Linked DNA regions of Notamacropus eugenii. The protein of the gene in region 1 binds, or shares a complex with, the protein of each later gene. Links are inferred from orthologs where the notes say so. Each region holds a gene or a part of one and is shown on either strand. Other genes may lie near its edges.

Region 1 (10,405 bases):
GTCATGGCGGTCTTCATTCATGGAATGAAGGACAAATAACATCAGTCAATAAGGATTAGTCCACAACTCTCCAGGCAACTTTTCCACCTTGACCTCAGGCAAGGAACCTCCCCCTCTTCCCTTTTCAGATTCCTTTTCTGGATTGTCTTCTCTTATTAGTATGTGACCTCTTTGAGGGGAGGGATTGCTTTTCTTTTACTTAGTCCCAGCATTTAACACAGTGCCTAGCCAGTAGTGTTTAATAAATGCTTTATCTATCAAGAAAAATGACCTCTTTTCAATCTTTTGCACTCCAGTCTTTGTACTGTCTTGTCCATGACAAGAATTTTTTCTACTTAACAAATGGTTAGCAGCTTCTTCTTTTACTGGTCATCTCAATGTCCTCTAACTTTAGCTTTCTTCCAGGTTACTTACTCTTAAGGTCTGCTTTTTTTTTTTCTGAGGATTAATTAAGTTATTTTGCAACAATAGTTTGTCAGTTCCTGGTGTTGTATTTTTTTTTTTAACATTTCCTAGGGCTTCAGTGAGACAGATTCTGTTTTACTTTGGGTTTGAATGATTCTTAAAATGCTTAACTTCACACCAACACCTCCTGCAATACCTCTGTTAGTCACTGAAGTGTGCCCTGTAAGACATTTGTATGTTTCCTTGGAGAAACATTCACTCTTTAAAATCACATAATTAAAACTCAGCAGTTACAGAAGATGAAATCAAGGTGAAGACACCAGCTTAATTTGGTTTCATCTGGTTTAGGTCAGATATTCTGAGTCACTAGTATCAGCAGAGTTGCATGCTCAGTCATAGCTTTCACAAAAATGAAAACACATGCAGATAATTGCTAGTCCCAAATAATTGGCACATTACTCTAGGCGAAGTATACACAAAATGTATGAAAAATAAATAAAAGGTAGTTTTGGGAAGGAAGATACAAGTAGCTGGATGTCATTTTGTGTGAATTCCAGCTGGGCTTCTATGTCTGATGCAAAGAATCACTCAGAGCTCCCGAATTCAGATAAACAATTATTTTATTAAATATCCATTATGGAACATTTACCTCCTTTCATCTACTAAAGAGGCAGAGTGTTATCATGCCTAGAGCGCTGGCATTGAAGCTTGAGAGCTGGATTCAAGTTCTGCCTCAGACAGAAGATGGGCTGTGTGATCCTGAGCAAACTGGAAAAATTTTAAGCAACAAGCTTCTATTTATTCTCTGGACATTTACAATTTTTTTCCAAATATAAGATCATAGTTTTTACATATATTATCCTAGCTTCTTCATGCAAATTGGTGTAGATGTCTAACATTATTTTGTAATTTTGAGAAAATTAGATCATTTATAAATTTTTACAAGTTTTTCATGGGGAAGATAGGAGTTGCTAATATTTTTATGAAGAAATAGGAGTAAAATCAGTTACCGACAACACCTTTTTAATGTTAGAGTATTTTCTTTTGGTTTCATGCTTAAATGGCAATTAGCATGCCCATATCCTCCATTATTTATCTTAGCACTAATGTTCCCAGAAGGCTACATTAAGAGGGACATAGATCCATAAAGCACTTAGGAATAGTTTTACTATATACCTAGTCACTGTATTATAGCTTCCAAGAACAGGGAGGGGATAATATCACAGTCCTCTGCCCTTATCAGACCTCATCTTAAATACTGTAGTACCATGATTTATGAAAGATATCAATATAAATTGCAAAGTGGAGGACAACAGAAATGGAAAGGGACAAATGAAGATGGGCTAAAGGAATTGGACATGTTCAACAAAGGATAAAGGAGAATGGGGTAGGGGTGAAAGGGTACATGAGAACTGGAATGCTACCTTAAAAAATCTGAAGGACCATCTTGAGGAGGAGAGATTATACTCATTACACAGTACCTCCCCTCCAAATAAGAACAATGGGTAGAAATGTCAGGAAAAATTTTCTAACAATTTGATGAATCCAATACCAGAAAGAACTGCTTTGAGAGGTTGTAGGCTCTTCTTCCTTGGAGGTCTTTGTCTGCTATATTAAGAGTACGGATTCTTTTTGTATGAGTTGGACCAGTTAGCCACTGAGGTGCTTTACAACTCTCAAAGGCTGTGAGCTCACTACTAACTGAAGCAATCCATTTCACGTTTTTTCAGGTAATTGGCATTAAGTGACTTACCCAGGGTCACACAGCTAGTGTCTGAGATTCTGATTTGAACTCAGATCCTCCTGATTCCAGGGCTGATGCTCTATCCTTTATGCTACCTAGCTGCCACACCCATTCTACTTTTGAATAGTTGTCTAAAATCTGCCTCTATTACTTTTATACAATTTTTAAAATTTGTTTTCTAAGACCAAAAAAGACCAAGTACAATCCCTCTTCAAATATTTTCTTTTGTCCTCTCTACCTCCTACAAAGTCTTCTCCAGGCTAACCATCTCCAGATGACATTACCTCCTATCTTCTTAGCATCTTCAGCACTATGCTGGTATGCAATTCCTGTCTGTGACCTTCCTAAAACATGTTGCACAGAACCAGTTGCAATATTACAGATAGGCCCTGCCAGGCATACTATGGTTGAATTTGGACACTATACTTCCATTATGCAATATATCATATTTGCTTTTTTAGCTGCTGTCATGATGAGATTTATCTTGGGCTTACAGTGCACTAAAAGGTCCTAAATTTAGTCAGTCATGTTTTCTATAGACTGTAATGGAAGAGTTGGTCTGTTGAATTTGAGTGAAGGACTCTGCATTTATCACATTAAATTTTATCCTATTAGATTTGGCATGGTGAGGCAGTACAGTATAGTGGATAAGAAGGGTGAACTAAAACCATGAAGGTCTGGGTTCGTGTCTTGTCTCTGATATATACTGGCTATGTGACTCATGACAAGTCCTTTAGCCTCTTATTACTCTTGGCAACTCTTCACAACTGCACATTGCAGGGAAGGTGCCCATACATACTGGTAGAGGAGGGGCTCCTCATGCCAATGAAATTCTAAGTCCAGTCCTTATCTTTGTCAGATTATTTTCTTTTCCTAGATTCTGCTCATTGCTCTAGCCTGTCAAGATTTTCTGGGATCCCAATTCTGTCACTCAGCATATTTGCTATCCTTTTCAGCTTTGTGACATTTTCAATTTTACAAGTATGCCATCTGTCTGTCATGCAACTAATAAAAATGTTGAGAAGTAAAAGCTCTAGGATGAAAGCCTGGTGGCATTAACTAGAGTCCCTTCAGGTTGACATCATTCTATTAATAACTATTTGGGGGAAGAGGGAGCAGCTGTTTAACCAGTTCCTGAAACCTTCCTAACTGTACTATCAGGTAGCCCACATCTTTCCATCTTGTTCACAAGCGTATTATTATAAAACACTTTTGTCAAATGTCTTGATGAAATCCTTATATGCTATTTTTATGTCACTTTCTTGATCTATAAACCTTGACCAAAAAAAACCAAGTGAAGTTAATTTAATATAAAATTTTTTCTTAAAATTTTTATTGATATCTTGTTTTTGGATTGCATTCATACTTGATCACAACTGTCCCCTTTTTCTACCCTGTCCCATGTAACAAAGTATAACCCTTTTAACAAAGAATAACGGGAAAAAAGCAGCAAAATAAAACTAACACATACAGCCCAATCTTGTCTGATAGTACATGGTGATCGTTGTTTCCTTCCTAAAGGGTTCATAAGCTAACCCTTTATAGAGTGTTTTAAAATTTTGTCAGAAATGAAAGTCAAGCTTATTGGCCCACAGTATAAGGAATCTAATTTTTTTCTCTGTTTGAAAGCCAGGACATTTGCTCATCAGAAGGCCTTTGGCAACATTCCTTCCTTCCATGATTTTTCAAACATCGCTCAGCAATCATATCCCTTAAATTTTTTCACTACTCCGAGAGGCAGTTTTTTCAAGCCTAGCGATTCGAGGCCAGATAGTTTCTTACATTCTCACTTGAGTTTCTTTCCTTTCAACTATTTTTGCTTAATATTCCAAAGTCTAATGATAATGGCTTTCATATTCAACTATTGTTTTTTCTTTTTAAAAATTTATTTATTTATTGTTGCTTTTTTTTTTCTCACCAAGAAAAATCATCTCCAGGCTGGTAAGTTTCTTTGCCTAAGGAAAAAATCATGAAACTTCCCTGTCAGATTTATTTCCTTAGGAAGGAAAACAGAAAAAAAGAATTGAGTTTTTTGATATGCATCATTACCCTCCCAACTGCCTGCAGAGTGGCCCAATCTCTTTCTTGATTTTCTCTTGGCTCTAATATTGCTTAAAAAGCACTTCTCCACAGGGTATTGACGCACGGACTAATGCATTCTTAATGGAAACAGCTGTCTTATTCTAATATATTTTTATATCAGAACAATGAAGCTGGAGAGAAAAGTGGTTATTCTTAACCTAAGGCTTGTGGGTGATCATGAAAAATAGGGGTGGTTTCTTCATGTAATAAAAACTGCCCTGGACTAGCCATAAGATTTGCATTCAAATTCTGGTTTTACTACTAACTATACCCATGACCTTTGGACACAACCACGAATGGTGGAAAGTGAAAAAGCAGTAATCGGGAGTTACAGCCACTTTTCAAAGCCCAGCTTTGCTCTTTACTATCTGCATGACCTCAGGCAAGTCAAACATTACTAGAATTTAAGTTCCCTGAGGACAAAGGCTAAGTCACTCTTGCACTGGTACCCTCCACCGCCAGCAGTGTCCGGCGCTTGGTATGGGTTTAATGTTGCTGGCGAATCGCTCTAGATTTCAGTTTTGGTGTTTTTTGGTTTCTTTTTTGCAAAGCCAAGGGGTTGGCGTAAATGATCTCCACAGTCCCCCCAGACCTCTCTAGCACCGAGTTCGCTTATCTGTAAAGTGGAGATCACCACAGCGGCCATGCTCTCTGCCTCGCAAGGTCGCCGCACGTTTTATGAAGCACGAGGAACTCTTGGCCACCTCCAAGCCCTAAACACCTAGGAGCTGGGATGACAGCGATGAGAGGATTCCTCAGCTACGAACAAAAAGCCTTAGACGGCAAACTCTCTGGTTGCCAAAACTGGAAAAACGATTTCTGCAAGCGCTTACTTCTTCAAACTCATAGTATTGTCAGCCCTAGGCGTTTTTCCCAACTGTGAAAGCCACTGGAGAGAACCTGCAACTCACAAACCCTAAGAAAGAGGAAGAGGAAGTCGGCGAAATCTCGCGAGACCCTTTCCGCGAGCCTTGTTTGCGTGTTTCTTCTGCACCAGGCACGCATACGTATGTACGCACGCCCGTGCGCCGGCTCCCCGCTGCTCTCGCGAGCCTTGGGGAGGGTCCGTTGGGAAGATGGCGGCGGCCGCGGGCACCCTTCAACTTTTGCCGCCGGGCGCTTCGGACTGAGCCTCCCGGAGGCGGGGGGCGGAGCGGGCGGCCCCGGAGCCCAGCGCCCCGGGAAGCCTGAAGCGGCTCGGCCCCCCGCTGGTGGGTGGGGAAGGGTGTCTCCCGTTGTGTGGCGGGCGAAGGCCCTCCTTCCCCGCCTCCGGGATGAAGGCTCAGGGAGAGGCAGAAGGTTAGTGCTTGGGGCCGAGGGGAGGACGGGCCCGGTCGGGCGCGGAGACACAGGTTTGGGGTCCTGCTGGAAGCGGGTGGACCCCTCTCAGGTTGGCAGAGCCCTTGCCGTCCCCTGCTGTAGGCGGCGGGCCGGAAACGGGAGGAGAGGCGGTCCGCGTTGCTGCTGACGTCCTGGCGGGGGGTCGTCAGGGGAGTGGCTGGACCTAGGTGGCCTCGAGGATCCTCTACCTGCAAGCCCGAGTAAACTCTTTGTAAAGGAGAAGCAGAAGGGCATCATGGATGTTCAAGAAATAACAGACGTGCCACAAACCCACGAATAACTGCTGTTCCGATCCAGAGGCTAGCTTGTAGCACGAGCAGCCCTCCGATCGAGCGTGGGGTTCGCTGCTTTTTTTTGAAAAAAGTCTATTAAGTAGCACGAATAATAGCGCTTTAGAGCTTGCGGAGCACTTGGCTAGCTTCATCTCATTTTCGCTTCACCACAGCCCTGGGAGGTAAGTGGTGATTCCCACTTCTCCGACTGGAAAACTGAGGGAGACACTTCCCGTGGTTTCCTTAGAGTCCCGGAGATCTAGTAATGGCCAAGGCTTAGGTCCTTCCACCCTGTGCACTGCACCGGCATTGATAGAGTGTAGTGATGTTTGCAGAACTTGCGTACGTAGGTTTTCTCGTGCTTAACCCTAACAACGTTTCTGGGAGGTAGGTCCTGTTATTATCTCCATTTTACAGAAGAGGAAACTGAAGCTGAGGGAGATTGACTTTCTCAGGGTCATCCAGCTAGTGCACAGAATTTGAACTTACTCAGGTCTTCCTGACTCCGGATTCAGTGTTTTATCCACCATGACACCTAGCTGTCTATGGTCTTTAGACTTTGTTTTGATACAGTGGATACTTTCCAACAAATATCCGGATGACATTCCTGCTCTTACTTGTCTTTTTGCTGCCCACCCCCATATTCCTTATTCCTCTAGTTGTCAGTGCTTTCCCCTGTTACTTTGTATTGTTTTATACTTGCTTGTGTTGTTTCTCTATAGTAGAAAATAAGCTCCTTGAGAGTATAGGTTGTTTCTGTTTGGTCTTGGTTTCATTTGGTCTTCCTAAGCATTGAGCACTGTGATGCTATAAATACTTATTGGATCAAATGACAAGGTACATTCTCTCAAAACAAAACCATCTAATAATAGCATATCCTTCTTAAAACCATCTAATGTAGATGCTATTATTATCTTCCTTCTAAAGAAACATATGGTCTAGAGAATAGAAAGCTGGCCTCAAAACTGGAAAGACCTGGACTCAAGTCCTGTCTGTTACACATGCTAACTCTGTGACCCTGAGAAAATCACTTCATCTCTTAGTACTCCAGGCATCCACAAGTTGCAGAGAAGGTGTACTAACTTGATTTGCTGGAGGGAGTTTTCCTATCTGGGAGTTTCCTCTACTAGTGAGATCACTGGTCCGGTTCCTGTCCCTTTGCAGATGAGAAAACTGAGACTCAAAGAGGTTAAGTGACTTGGTTGCCTTTATATAGCTAGTACCTGAGGCTGGATTTGAGCATATGTTTTACTGAAATCCAGCACTCCATCCATGATTTCTCAGTGCTTCTTGAGAGATGACACAGACTCCATTTACAATTTAATGAGGAGAAAGGCCAAGTGTACACCTCTGGTACCAGGTCTGGTAAGATTCAGTTCCACAAAAACTCATCAAGAACATAATATTTATCAAGGCAATGTGTTGTGTACTTTTTATATAGAGACAAAATGAATGTTATTCTACTGGGAGAAGCTGTATATACACATATATGCAAACATATGCACACGTGCACACACAAACACAGACAAATAAATGCAAAAATATAATAGCTAGAGCTTCCAAGAAGCAGCATTAAGAAAGGGCAACATTCCATACATAGGGAGGAATGTCAACATCCTGTACAATGTGGGAAAAGGATTGTGACAGTCTGGTAAAATATGTTGAAGGCAGAGTGAAGGACACTAAATGTCCTAGAGACAATAGGGAGCCATTGAACTTTCTTGAACAAGAACGTGACATGATCAGATCTGTGCTTTTGGATTGTTAATTTGGTAGCTGTGTAGAGAGGATGGATTGGAGAGAAGAAATGGAAAATAAGAAGAATAGTTAGGCTATTGCAGTAGTCCAGATTAGAGAAAGTGGGAGCCTAAATCTGTCAACCAGCAGGCATTTATTAAGTGCGTACTCTGTGTGAGACACTGTTAAATACTGGGGATTTAAAGGCAAAATTGAAACACCCAATATCCTCAAGGAGCTAATTTAGAATAAGTTGAGAGAAGAGGACATATGTGAAAAATGGAAGCAAAGTTGACAAGTTGTAGTAGCTGACTTAATATGGGGAGCAAAATCAAGGATGATGCCAAGTTTGGGAAATTGATTGTTATAGAGGAATTATGGTGCTCTTGAAAGAAATAGGGAAACTGGGAGAAGGAGGGATGGATTTGTTAGGGAAGAAGATAATGAGTTCCATTTTGGACATTTTGATAATAAATGTGAGAGACCCAGGCAAAGTATGACAAGAAATTTGAAGGGGTGTTCACTTTCACTCAGAAGTAGAGAGGGAGAGAGAGAGAGAGTGAGCAAGAGCAGAAAAAGTGCCATATGAGAGCTGGCAGCTGAGTTCCTTAAGACTGATGCTGGGGCAACTTAATTCCAAGTATAGGGCATTGACTAAAGCATGAAAACAGGAGAGTGCATGGTGGAGGATGCAGAATGGGAGATAGAAAGTAGTTCAGTTTGATTGGAATATGACATTTGTGAAAAATCATGCCTAGACAGTATGAGCTAACATTATTGAAGCTTTTTAATACTTAGGAAGGCACTTTTCTTTCAGTAACTTTGTGAAGTAGATAGCACAGGTACCTACCTAAATATTTCCTAAATATTTAGAGTATCTGGGATACCAATTTGAGAATTAAGAATTGAAGATCTTGAAGAACAAGAGAAGACAGTGTTCTCCTGTCACTTGTTTGGGCTAAGATAGATAACAGGATAAGCCAAATGACTCATACATCAGATGACAATGGACAAGTAAACAATGCTAGGTTGTGAAAGTTCTTTAACGTCAGGGTCAGGAATTTATGCTTAATTTAAAAAAATGTTTATTGATTTTTTTTTTGGTTTTGCATTTGTAATATATTACTGAATATATATTCTCTTTATTCTGCCACCTACTGGGTCCTCCCTTGTAACAAAAAACAGTTAAATAAAAACACACACCAAATCCAATTGCATATATAGCTTTCACAGCAATAGTCCCCCTAACAAAAGGATGGAGATATCTATATTTGTCTCTTCTCTGGGGATAAAATTGATCATTACAAGTACATATCATTCACCTTTTTTTTAGTATCATTTTTTTATGTTATTGTAGTTCACATTTTATTTGGAAGGCCACTGAAGTCTTTTAAATACAAGGCATAATATGATCATAGAGGTGTGTTAGGAAAATTAATAGGTTAGTGTGGAGACTAGATTGGACATGAAATAGTTTGGAAGCAAGAAGTTAGGATCCAGTTTTGATCATTTAGGTGAACAGAGTTTTGGCTGTGGTCAGGGAAGAGAAAAGTACCCTGATGAGAGAGATTGTGGAGATAGAAATGACATGACTTGTCAGCTAACTGGATATATAGGGGATGAGGGAAAGAGAAAAATCAAAGATGACACCAGTCTGGCATACTAGAAGAAAAAGGTGTTGATGTCAGTAGAAATAGAGAAGTTAGGGAGAGTTGGAGGTTTGGGAAGAGGGGAGAAATGATGAATTCAGTTTTGCACATGTTGAATTTGAGATCTTGGTGAGATGTACAGATCAGGGTAGCCAGCATCCAGGTGGAATAGGAGCTGTGGGGGAGGCAGTATGAGGAGGAAAATTGGGCTTGGACATAATAGTGGATGAGGTCACTCTAGGAATACAGGTGATTGAAAATTTTTATTAGTATTCAGGAAACTTTTCAATGTAGGGCATGACTTTCAGGTCTCCTCTATATGAAAGCACTGTTTGATCTTGGTTATTTTGGCAGACCAGGCAAAGAAGAGGTATTTTAGGTGGAAAAGAAGTAGACTTTTTCTGATGAGAGGGAATAAGTATAGAGTCTCCAAGATGGAAATGGGTGAAAGAAGTGTGGAATACTAGCTTGCTAGAGTAGAGCCTGAATAGTTTAGAAAGTAGGGAATAAAGTGAATTAAGGTTCTGTATAGGAGTTGCACTTGGTAATGATTTCTTTTTCTTCCTATCCTTTGGTCCTTTATCTTAATTGAAGTGAACTTTTTATTATCTCTGCCATCCAGTTATCTTTCAACAGATTATATTATATTGAGAATAACACTTTGAAAAGTGATCCATATAAAATTGAACTCTGACAACATTCCCTTTTCAGCCTTCATTCCTAGTAGCTTGACTATGCCTTTCCCATCCATCTCCTCTTCACCTACAAAGCCACTACTCTAGGTCAAATATTCCTCTCCTTTCATCTGGGCTGTTGTAGTAGCCTCTTTATTATTCTTTCTGCTTCTAGTTTCACTTCTCACCAATCCATCTTACACACAACTGCCATATGAATCTTCCTAAGACATGGCATGACCATGTCTCTCCCTTCACCAAAAATCACTATGTACCAAGACTTAGTAGAAAACAACCAAGAAGCCTCTCTGCAAGAAGTCTTTCTCAGTTCTCCTTAATTTTTGTGCCTTCCCTCTGAGACTGTTCCTAATTTATCCTTTATATATATTCTTTGTACATAATTGTTTGCATATTGTCTCCCTATTAGATTGTGAGTTCTTTGAGACAAGGACTGCTTTTTGCCTTTACTTGTGTCTCCAGAATTTAATATGGTCAGTGCTT
Region 2 (11,236 bases), on another chromosome or scaffold:
CATCCTCAAGGAAAATGGAAAGTCTGGTGACATTTGCTCTCACTAATTCTCTTTCTCCACCCCACTCCACCTTTGGCAGGCCCAGTGCATGATGTCGGCATTCTCACTGTTTGGAGGAGTTCTGTCCTAAGACAAAAGACAGGGCTTTGTCTGAGAAGTGGTTTACGTTCCCAAAGCAGATACCCAATGCCAAATGGAACCAGTTCCTGGCTTCTGTAACAGAGGGGTTTCTTCTCTTGCCCTCTGGGCACTAAGAAACCGAGAGACTTCAAGGTTTATAATAGGTCTTAAATTATTCCATTTCCCACTCCCACACATTAACAAGTATTTTCCATTTGCTGTCCCTCTCATGGGTAAAAAGAAAAGAAAAGAAAAAACCAGAATGCCAATAACCTCACCTTCCATAAAGAAATAGGAGAAAAGGCACATGTTGGAAACACACGTATCCCTTCATCCCCACTCCATCCTCAACAATGTCATCCATTGCCCTGCCCTGGCCTTCTCTGACCTAAGGTCTAGTCTGTCCTTGCATGGAAGTCTAAGAAGATTCCTAGATAATGTCAGGGATAGTATATTAAGCAATTATCAACCATCTTGCTGAGGGAGTGGGACAAAGGATGAGTTAGAATTGGCAGAGATGAAGATCATAGCATGCTGGGGAAGAGTAGATCCACAACAAGGACATGGGATTATATCTACCTTTTGGTATTTGCTCCATCATCTAAGATTTGGGGAAATAAGCTATTCCTTTTCTCCCTTCCTCTCTTTTCCTCTCCTTTCCTTCTTTCCTCTCTTTCTTTCCTTCTTTCAGAAATTGATGATTCTTTTTCCTTCTCTTTTTTCCTTCCCTCTTTTCCTTCTTTCCCTTACTTCTTTTCTTCCTTCAGGAAATAGATGGCTCTTTTTTCCTTCCTCCTTCCTTCCTTTCCTCCTTTCCTTTTCTTCTCTCTTTCCTCCTGTCTCTTTTTTCTTCCTTCCTTCCTTCTTTTCTTCAGAAAACAAATGGTTTTTCTCTCCTCCCTTTCTCCGTCCTTTCCCCATTCCTTTCTTCCTTTCCTTCTCACCTTTCTTTTTTCCTTTTATTCCTTCCTTTCCTTCCTTCCTTCTGGAAATATATGATTCCTTTTCTTCCTCCCTCTCTCCCTCCCTCTCTTCCTTCCTTTCTCCCTCCCTCTTGCCCCCCAAAGAACTTACATTTTAATGGAAGAGACAGCATGACTATAAATCAGCACCTACAGGGTAAATACAACATTGATGAAAGTTAGATTTGGAAATTAACTATGTAGCTCTTAGGTTGTTAGGTTACTTTTCCTACGTATTAGGTCAATCAATCAATAAGCATTTATTAAGCACCCACTACATGCCAGGCAAAGAATAAAGCAATTCCTGTTCTTAAGGAGCTTGCATTCTACCAGGGAAGACAAAATGTATATATATAATATGTGTATACATATAATGCAACGGATACCATATTGAATCATTATCAACCATTGATAGCATAGAGGTCACTTTATCATACTGAGGGGGTAGGACAAAGGATGAGTTTAAGTTGCTAAAAAAAATGTGTAAGGCACTGTTCCAGGTGCTGAGGATACAAAGAAAAAGAAACAGCTCTTGCCTTCCAATAACTTCCATTCTACTAGGGTTCTCTGACTACTGCTCATGAATTTTGTGCCTGTGGCCTTTCTCCTTCTGCTAGAACAGAAAGTCAAACTGAGTTTTTGCAAGTTTTTTGGGGATGGGGAGAGGGAGACATAAAACATCATACTTCTTCAACTATTCACCTTGTCAAAGAATCAGCAAATTTCAGAGTTGGGAGGTACCTTAAAAGCCATCTAGTCTAAATCTATGTCTGAACAAGAATCCCTTCTATGACCTACCTGACAAGTGGGCATCCAACCTTTGCTTGAAGAATGCTAGTAAGGCAGAAGCTAGCAGAACTCTTAATAGACCGGGGTGACTGGTACCTTGCCCCAGGCATAACATTTACAGAACTTTTACTCCTTCAGAAATATAGAAACAAACACTCAATGCCTAGTTCTCAAGAATGATGTAAGTTACCGAATGGCATCAGCACATCTCCTCTTCCCTCCCCCAACAGCTCCACCACAGGTAAGCACCCCTGGACAATCTGTTCTCTCCAGTCCACCCTCCCCAATAGTTGCCTCAAGGTATTTTGGGGTCTTTGTCTTGCTCACACAGGACAGTGAATCTCTCCCTTCTCAATTTTAAAAGCTGATTTGAGGGTACATTTCATACCATTTGCCACAAGTACAAAAAATGCCAGTTACAGTTCTGGATCCCATTCCCTATTTTGGGAACCCATTCCACTCTATTCCTGGTACAGAGCTCTGATGGATTTACAACTAACCTGGATCAATGAGATTTTCAAATCAAAAGGCAAACATTGTCTCCTACTCTAATCTCTGTCTCCCACTGCATCTTTATTATACCCTGGAATTTAGCTGGAAACTCTCTCAATTCCTGCTCATCTACACATTGCATCTCATTGCATTGTATTCTATTTATTACTTTGAAGGTGAGTTTAAGCTACCTGAGTGTTGGTAGCTGTAGGGTCCTCCTCTCATGTGGCATCTGCGAGCATCCAGGACAGAGCTATTTGTGCAGTGAGGTAGGTCCCTGGTTCATGCTATGGACATATTTGTAGCCACTACCCACTAAGAGTACAAGTCATACTTCAGTGCTCAAAGAAGACACCTGCAACCAACTCCTTCCCCGACTCCCTCCAAAGGCTTGCAATGTTGCCATATCTCAGAAAAATCACCATTTTCCTTGAACCTTAGATTCCCTTCCTACAATCATCTGGCAGAAGAGCTAGGATAAAGAAAGCCTCTGAAAGCTGAGACCTCTTACCTCCTAATATCTCTTCCTAATTTCTTCTGATTAGTGCCCAGCTTTAGCTATGCACCAGTCTCAGACTCCCAAGACACCATCTCCAGCCTCTGCTGGCTCATGATTGCTGGGCACCATCTCCCACTAGGCTTAAGCTGGAATGGTGAGACCCAGGCAGAGTTTCCCAAGCTTGACTGAAGAGTCTTCCTTCCCACCCTAACTTCACCACATACTTGAAGCCTTTGGACCACTTTATGGGACTCAGTTTCCCCCTGTGATAAAATGAAGGTGTTAGTCTAGAGGATCTAATTCTCTTCAAGCTCTAACATTTTCCATTTCTATGGTTCACCCATTGATAAAGACCTAGGGAGGGATGATACTAGGTACTGAAGGATATATAAAGATGGATAAGATATGGTCCTTACCCTGAAGGAACTCCTAGTCTATTATGAGAGATAAGAGTGAGAAACAAATAACTGGGGTGTGAAACAGTCTGATATACATATATAAATAAAGATAATAAGTACTAGAGGACAAACCAGGAAACCTCACAGAAATTGCATGTGAAATTTTTTCTTACAGCACTCATTGATTCATTTGTACCCATACTCTCTAAATCCCTTGTCTCTCTGAAGTACATGTTAACCTGTTGATATATCCTTCTAGGAAAAGGGCTTCACAGTGCCTAGTCTTGGGAGTGGGGGCTTCAGGTGACTCATCCCTATCTGTGGGCTTCAGTATTTCAAATCTTTGTTGTAAAATGATCAAATTGGTCAATGAGTCAAGTGCTTACCATGTACCAGAGGAAGCAGACAAAAAAGAAATAATGCCTCCCCCTCCAGCAGCTTATGTTCCTTCAGGGGAAGCAACATGGACATATATAAATAAATACAAAATACATACCAAGTAATTTCTGTGACTGGTAGATTCAGTAGTGGTCTCCTGAAGAAGAGAGCTTTGAAGGAGAGATGGCAATGAGGAAGAAACAAAGGCACGAAGACATAGAGAATGCTGCATGTGACCAATTGTGTCAGACCACAGAGTCAAAGAGAATAATGTGTAATAATCCTGGAAAGGTAAACTGGAGTCAGATTGTGATGTGTTTTTAATCCTGAGGAATTTGTTTTATCCAAGAGGTAATAGGAAGCCAGGGCAGCTAGGTGGCGCAGTGGATAGAGCATCAGATTTGGAATTAGGAAGACTCATCTTCATGAGTTCAAATCCAGCCTCAGATACTTACTAGCTATGTGACCCTGGGTGAGTCACTTAACCCTGTTTGCCTCAGTTTCCTCATCTGTAAAAATGAGCTGGAGAAGGAAATGGAAAGCCACTCCAGTGTGTTTGCCAAGAAAACCCCAAATGGGGTCATGAAGAGTCAGATTTGAGTGAACAACTTTTGGGTCAGAGCTAGAGGTAGCTAGGTAGCACCACACATAGCATGATAGGCCTGGAGTCAGGAAAACCTGAGTTCAAATCTGGCCTTAGATACTTACTGACAGTGTGATCCTGAATAAGTCACTTACATCTGTTAACCTCAATTTCCTCAACTACAAAATGAGGATAATATCAAAGTTGTTGTAAGGATCAAATGAGATGATATTTATAAAGCACTTAACACAGTGATATCCCTTAATAAATACTTATTTCCTTCTTTCCAACTGTGTTTTTGAAGAGTACTCCTGGTGTCGAGGGAGGGGGATATGGAGATTAAGGGAGGCTTCACGAAGTACTTACCATTTGAACTGACAAATAGTGGCTCCCCTGAGTGAGCCAGGACTGCTGCTATTGTCCCCTGAGATCAGATGATCAGGGGATTTGTACCTAAAAGGAATCCTCTACTCCACAGATTCTTAACCCTTTGTGTGTTATGACCTCTTCTGGCATTCTGGTGAAACCTATGCATCCCTTCTCAGAATATTTTTTTTAAAGTTTATAATTCAAGAAAATTCCAAATTTTGGAGTTCATTGAAAATAAAGATGTATTTTTCCCCACCCAAGTTTATGGACCCTGTGAAATCTGTGTACTCTTTGAGCATTCATCCCTTGAATAATATGAATTACCATTCATATTATTATTAATACTTAATATTTAAATAGAATGAATAACAATTCATGCTCCTTCAGCACTCTAAGGTTTATAAAACACTGTCCTCACAACAACCCAAAAAGGTCAATAGCGGGAGCATTCTTACTCTTACCATTTTACAGATGAAGAAGTAAAGGCACAGAATAGAGGCAAAGTAGCTCGCCACAACTAGTAAGTACCAAAGCCAGGGTATGAAACCCAGATTTTTTCATTCTGAGGCTAGGCTAGTCTTTTTCCCAACCACATCAACTCTGTCTCTTTGCTTCCTGGAGGAACAGAACTTTGAAGGAATCTTAGGATTTGGAGAAGCAACAGGAGAAGCAGCTGCCTCATTTATCTTTTCTCTGCTCCTCTTGGACATGTCTCTCCTCTCTCTTGCTACACATCCTTAGGTTACTGTGTTTTCCACAGCTTTCTATGCCAGAGGAGAAGGGTGGGGTGTGAATGAGGTAGCCCTCCCTCTCCTCAAGCATTGCTACTTAATTGGACTAATTTGGTTGCTAGACTCATAAAATGGCTGTCTCTTTCATGCAATACAGTCGGTTTCCATATTGGCTACTTACAGGGTTCCCCTTGGAGCCAAATGGCAGGGAACTCCATTTCTCAAGCAGGCCCCAAGAGAATTGGCTCATTATTGGCCTGGAAGAATTTCCACCAAGTAAAGTTCTTCTTGGAGTTGGCAGCAGCACAATTAAAAATTTCACCCATTCCTTCCAAGACAAAAGAAAATGCACACACACACATACATATACATATATACACACATGCATTTGTAGACATATACACACATGTACACACATACACATCTGTGCATAAATACAAATACATGCATACATATGGAAGATGCTCCTTTTATACCCCACTCTAAACCCCACCAACATACGCCATACAGCTTCAGCCCAAGCCAGATAATAAAGTGTTGCTGCTGTTCAGTCATTTTTCAGTCATGTCCAACTCTTCATGACCCCATGTGTAGTACTTCTTGGCAGAAGTACTTGAGTCATTTGCCATTTTCTTCTGCAGCTCATTTTACAGATGAGGAAACTAAGGCAAACAGGATTAAGTGACTTGCTAAGGGTCACACAGCTAGTAAATGTCTGAGATCAGATTTGAACTCAGAAAGATGAGTCTTCCTGACTCCAGGCTTGGCATTCTATCCACTGGGCCACCTAACTGCCCCAGATAGCAAATGGTTTTCTGTTATTCTACCATTTATTTGGCCATATATGTGTTTGATATTGAGGGGAATTATATTCTCCCCCTTATCCAAAATGATTCTTCATTCTTTCCTCTCTGGTTTCATCCTTCTTTTCAGATTTCTTCAAACTAGGATATTCAATGTACTTGGAATCAGGTCTTAGCTCTAGCTTGGTCCCTAAATCACTATGATTTTAGGGAATTCACTACTCTGAACCTCAGTTCCCTCATCTGTAAAGTGAAGATGTTGAAGTAGGTCTCTAAGGACTCTTCCAGCTCTGACAATGTATCTTCTAAAGTCCCTCTGAGCTGTGACATTCTATGTTCTGTATTCTAAATTCCCTTTGAGCTCTAACCTTGCATTGTTCACAAGCATAGGGAGAGTGAGGAGCAGCAGGGAAGATTTCATCCTTTTCCGGGCACATAGATGTGCTGCACTAACAGATCTGGGAGATCTGGATTGAGGTTTCAGTATTGCCTCTGGCTTGCTGCATGACCTGAGGAGCAACTATTAGTCTCGCTTTTCTTCATTTTGATCATTTGTCAAATGGAGGCGTTGGATTTCCCCCTCAATGGGGTTCTACAGGGAGATGATCTCTGAAAAAAAAAAAAAGTCCTTGGAAGGAAGGTTGTTGAAGACTCCAGATTATACACACTAATTTAGACAAAATGGCAGCCCATGTTCCTCTCCCCCAGCAAAATCAAGAGTCCCCATTTTCTAAGAAGAGTCCAGAGATGTCCTGGTTTAACTGGTACTACTTACAGATGGTTTTCCACTAGGTTGTGACTCCTGGTTTTAGCCCAAGTACAGAGAGGGTGTGTTCCCATCTTTCCAATGCCTGAGAATTACTCATTTAAAATTCATTTCAGTGGACTTTTTATATACCTATTTTATGTCTGTTTATTTAAGTTACTATGGTAGTGTCTCATGAATGATATTTAAGGAGAAACTTGGGCTTTCTAACTCAATTGCTGTAATTTTCCTTTAAAATTTCTCTCCTCCTACCTCCCCTGTCTCCTTTTGGAACAGGAGTCTGGTTGGACTGGACTGGGCTTCAGTTCAGGGGAGGAGAGAGTGCCCAACATGTGATCTGGGAATTGGGAATTTCGGAACAAAATCCCAGCTAAATCTCTCTGTCATGTCTTCATTTTTTCCCCCTTTCCCTCTCCTCTCTCCTTGTTAAAACAACATCTTTGGAGACTTAAACAAATCAGTGGAATGATTTTGTTCCCTTGCCTTTCTCCTGACTTTCTGAAGATCATTTCCCCCTCCCCCCCACCCAAATAATCCCTCCTCTTTCCTTTCCTCCTCTCTTCCCCCTCCCCTTCACCCAACTCCAAGTCAAGGGACCTTCTCATGCCTTCTGTTCGCCCCTACCTGGACCAGGTGCTCCTGAAGGAAAATATGGATAGCTTTTGTCTTGGCTTTGGACTGGGTAAGTTTTGGGTTTTTCTGCTTTTACTGGCTTTCAAATGGACAACTCCATCAGTGCTGCAAAGCAGGATGCACATGGACTACAAACCTGAAGGTTTTCCATGCATCTGTCTCCTATGAATGATACCTAGATAAAATAGCAATGGCACAAGAGTCAGAAGAACTGGGTTCAAATCCCAGACCAGCCCCTTGTAACTGTATCTTTGGGGAAGTCATTTGACTGTCCTTGGGACTTAATTTGATCTTCTGTAAAATGAGAGGGTTGAATTCCATGACCTCTGAGTTTCCTTCTGGATCTAAATCTATGATCCTATGTTATTATTAGGATTCCTAAATGAAAACTTAGGGCAATGGGAATAGGAACAGGAAGGGGGAAATTTAGGGAAGAAGAACAGTGGGGCAGAGCATATTCAGGGCCAGGATGATACTCCCTAGATGGGACTGTAATTTACAAACAATTTTTTGGTAGGCTCTAGGAGCTTTGCACTTTTATACTTTTCCCCTAAAGTTTTGTATTTGTAGGTAAATATTTGCTTCGCATTAGGCAGTACCATAGTCCATTGGTGAACCCATTTTTCTAACTGGTAAAACAAGGCAATGAAATAGTATCTAAACAACCTCCAGGTGGTAGCAGAGCCAGGAAAGACTGCTCCTGTGGTCCAGGCTACAGAAGTCAGAGTCCCTTAGGATTAAAAGCATTCCAAGACGCACAAGGTATGACTAGGTACAGAAGGACCAAAATTGGCCTAAGAGAGCTAGCTCTTCAGCAATATCTTCAAACATGACACATCCAATTTGGAGTATTGCTCCGCAGAACCAGCAAGACATTCAGGTCCGTGCTTTCTCTAGCTTTGTTTCTCCCTCCTCAAGACTACCAAATCCTAACATGAGGCTTGGGGCCTGGAGGGACTTGGAAGGGAAATTTGCAGGAGAACTTGGTCCCCAGACCTAATGTATTTTGCTCCAAACACATTTCCCCTTGATTTTTAAAACCCATGTCTGGATTGCAGAGTCCATCCGTCTGTTTTTAATTTATTCACACTAAACTCATCAGAATGTGCTTGGGTAACCACAGTTTGATGTCACCAAATGCTGCTAAACCTCCTTTTGCCTTTTATCTGAGGAAGAGGAAGCCAGGATTGTGCCAAAAGAAAACAGGATGAGTCAACCCTCACAATCCAAGTTGAAATTGACATCCAAGTCCAAGTGGTCTCAAGATTCAATGTAAGGCATTCCCCAGGCTCATTGGAAGTCCTTTATTAGATATCTCAGGCTTATCAATGCTGCTGGTGAAATTGTACTTGAATAGTGGATAGATGGATAATTTTAAAAAGCAATGATGATGATGATGATATAGCATTTATATAGCACTTACAGGCACTGTGCTAATCTCTTTATAAATATTATCTCATTTGTTCCTGAAAAGAACCCTGGGAAATAGGTGCTGTTATTATCCCTGTTTTATAGTTGAGGAAACTGAGGTAGACTTAAGTTTAAGATTAAGTGACTTGTCCAAGGTCACACAGCTCCTAAGTGTCTAAAGTTGGATTTGAACTTGGGGCTTCCTGACCCCAGACTTGGCACTCTGGCCCAACATAGGTGTTGGCTCTTACCTCCACTATCAGTGTTTTACAGTGGTTCACTGCACTTGGCCAGGGAGTATTCAGTACCAGCTGCAATCAGGCTTCTCTCAGATCTTATAGAATCCAATTCCAATACCAGTTCTGTCCTGTCTGGGGTGTGAGGAAAGGTTATTTTATGGGAGATCATGCATTTTCCTTGCAATGGTACCCTGGGGCATTTGGTGGGTAAACCTGGAGAGCCATAAGCTCCATGTAGGCATCAGGTTAGGGGGTAGACCCCAGGTTGGAAGGTGGTTGCTTCTTTCTTATTATTTATTGTCAGGATGGCAAAAGGCAGATCATGTGAAGGGGGATTGTGGTGGCACATATGAACAAAGTTCAAAAGAATCACCCAGATGATTGAATTGGTGAGGGAAGTAAGCAGAGATTGTCAGGATAGCACATTAAGAGGGAGGTAGCAACTCCAGATCAATGGGCCTACTCAGGGGCTGGGAACCTGCGGCCTCAAGACCACATGTGGCCCTCTACGTCCTCAAGAGTGGCCCTCCAACTTGGATTTAGTCAAAGGGCTACCCTTGAGAACCTAGAGAGCCACATGTGGCCTTGAGGCTGCAGGTTCTTCACACCTGGCTTAGCTCCACCTACCACCATCAACTGAAGGTCTTACAATCAACAGCTATGTTACAGGATGTGCCCAAATCAGTTCTTTCCAAGCGCCAAGACAGATACTTTGCAATGAGCAGCATCGTTTCTATATCTACATATAGGTAAATGAAAACTCAAACACTCTTAAGGCAGCTGTTTGCAGTTCTTGATTGCCAACCTCAATGAAAATGCATGAATACTTTGGCTCTGTCAGCGGATAAGGGTTTACCAGGGAATGAGGTATAAAAAGGTAGGGGTAGGTGTGTTTTACTTGGAAAGGGCATGTTTCAAAGTCCCACAGCTAGGGAGAGTAGGGAAGAGGGAAATTTTGTCAGATGTAACAAAGCCCGAGGCCTGGGACACTGCTCCATGGTCTGATTTCCTGGGGAGAGCCTCTTAGCCTAGATGGGGAAAGTCATCAGTCAGTCCGTTGTTATTTCTTTCAATTCCATTCCCCTACCCCCATTCTTCTTTTGCTTCAGTATGGGCAGCTGCCACGTCTGTCCTGCCCCACCCTCCTTTCTGTTCTTCTGTCAAAAGCTCTTGAGTTGGAGGGAAATAGATCCTGACAGCCTCTGTGCGAGCTTGGGCAATGAACTTGGGTCCCAAAGAAATAACTTTACCCTATGTGTCTGGAGCCAGGAGATCATTAAGAGGAAATGTGAGATCTAGTGAGTCAGAACTGGGACCTGCAGGGGTCGGATATATGTCGTCACTCAAGAAATCCCTTCCCATTCTTACTGTGATTTGGAAACTGATTCTTTGGCTGTATCCTCCTCCCTTCATTGCTTCCCAACCCCAATTTCACTAAACTCTGTGTTTCTTCTCAGGGTGGGCCCCAAGGCAGCTCTCTATTTGTCCTCTGAAGGCTGCACTTTAATAGGAGCCTTGGAGGAGGTGGGGGAGTGATCTGAAGGCCCTCTACAGGCTGTGTCCTGTGAACATCTGTGATGGCATCCTCATAACAAGGAGAATTGTCATGCCTCAAATTCCTGGAGTGCTTTGCCCCTGAAAATTTCCAAATAGCTTGAAGGTGTGGTTCCATGAGTTCACAAAGATCCCCCATTTTACAATTGGGAAAAAAGAGATCTAGAAAGAGTAAGCTATGTGGCCATGGTCCCAAAGCAAGGAAGAAAAAGAACCCAGAGATTGGAGACCTATGCTCCTTCTGCCAGAAGACACTGTGTCTCAATATCTTTGTGAGGTCAGAAAGAAGAAAAGACCTTCTAGCCTGGCCTGAGGGACATGAATCAAATTCTAAATTTCCTGGCTGCAGGAAAGAAAAAGGAGATGCTCATAGTTATCTGAAGCCCCACTAGAGAGGGGAGATTAAAGGGGAGGTTCATGAGTGAAGTTCATTTCCTTTATATCCTGAAATCCAGCTTTACCTCCTAGAAAAGTGAGACTCTTCTGGATTCAGACTCTACCCTCAAAAGA

Evidence for each region.
Region 2: the proteins of MED1 (region 1) and RXRA are in contact, whole or in part, in a crystal structure (PDB 1XDK), measured with the Mus musculus proteins. The link is inferred for Notamacropus eugenii from reciprocal best matches to the Homo sapiens genes MED1 and RXRA. Residues at the interface, in NP_001073587.1 of Mus musculus: Asn641, His642, Pro643, Met644, Leu645, Met646, Leu648, Leu649, Lys650, Asp651; in NP_035435.1 of Mus musculus: Phe282, Val285, Lys289, Phe294, Leu299, Gln302, Val303, Leu306, Arg307, Thr454, Phe455, Glu458, Met459, Glu461, Ala462, Pro463.

The regions. Positions count from the first base shown.
Region 1 is NC_092873.1:354,982,710-354,993,114, reverse strand, and holds the start of MED1 (mediator of RNA polymerase II transcription subunit 1), read left to right. Parts: upstream 1-5,239; 5' UTR 5,240-5,505; coding exon 5,506-5,530; intron 5,531-10,405. UniProt on the Homo sapiens protein: Component of the Mediator complex, a coactivator involved in the regulated transcription of nearly all RNA polymerase II-dependent genes.
Region 2 is NC_092872.1:486,963,911-486,975,146, forward strand, and holds the start of RXRA (retinoic acid receptor RXR-alpha), read left to right. Parts: upstream 1-7,247; 5' UTR 7,248-7,493; coding exon 7,494-7,572; intron 7,573-11,236. UniProt on the Homo sapiens protein: Receptor for retinoic acid that acts as a transcription factor.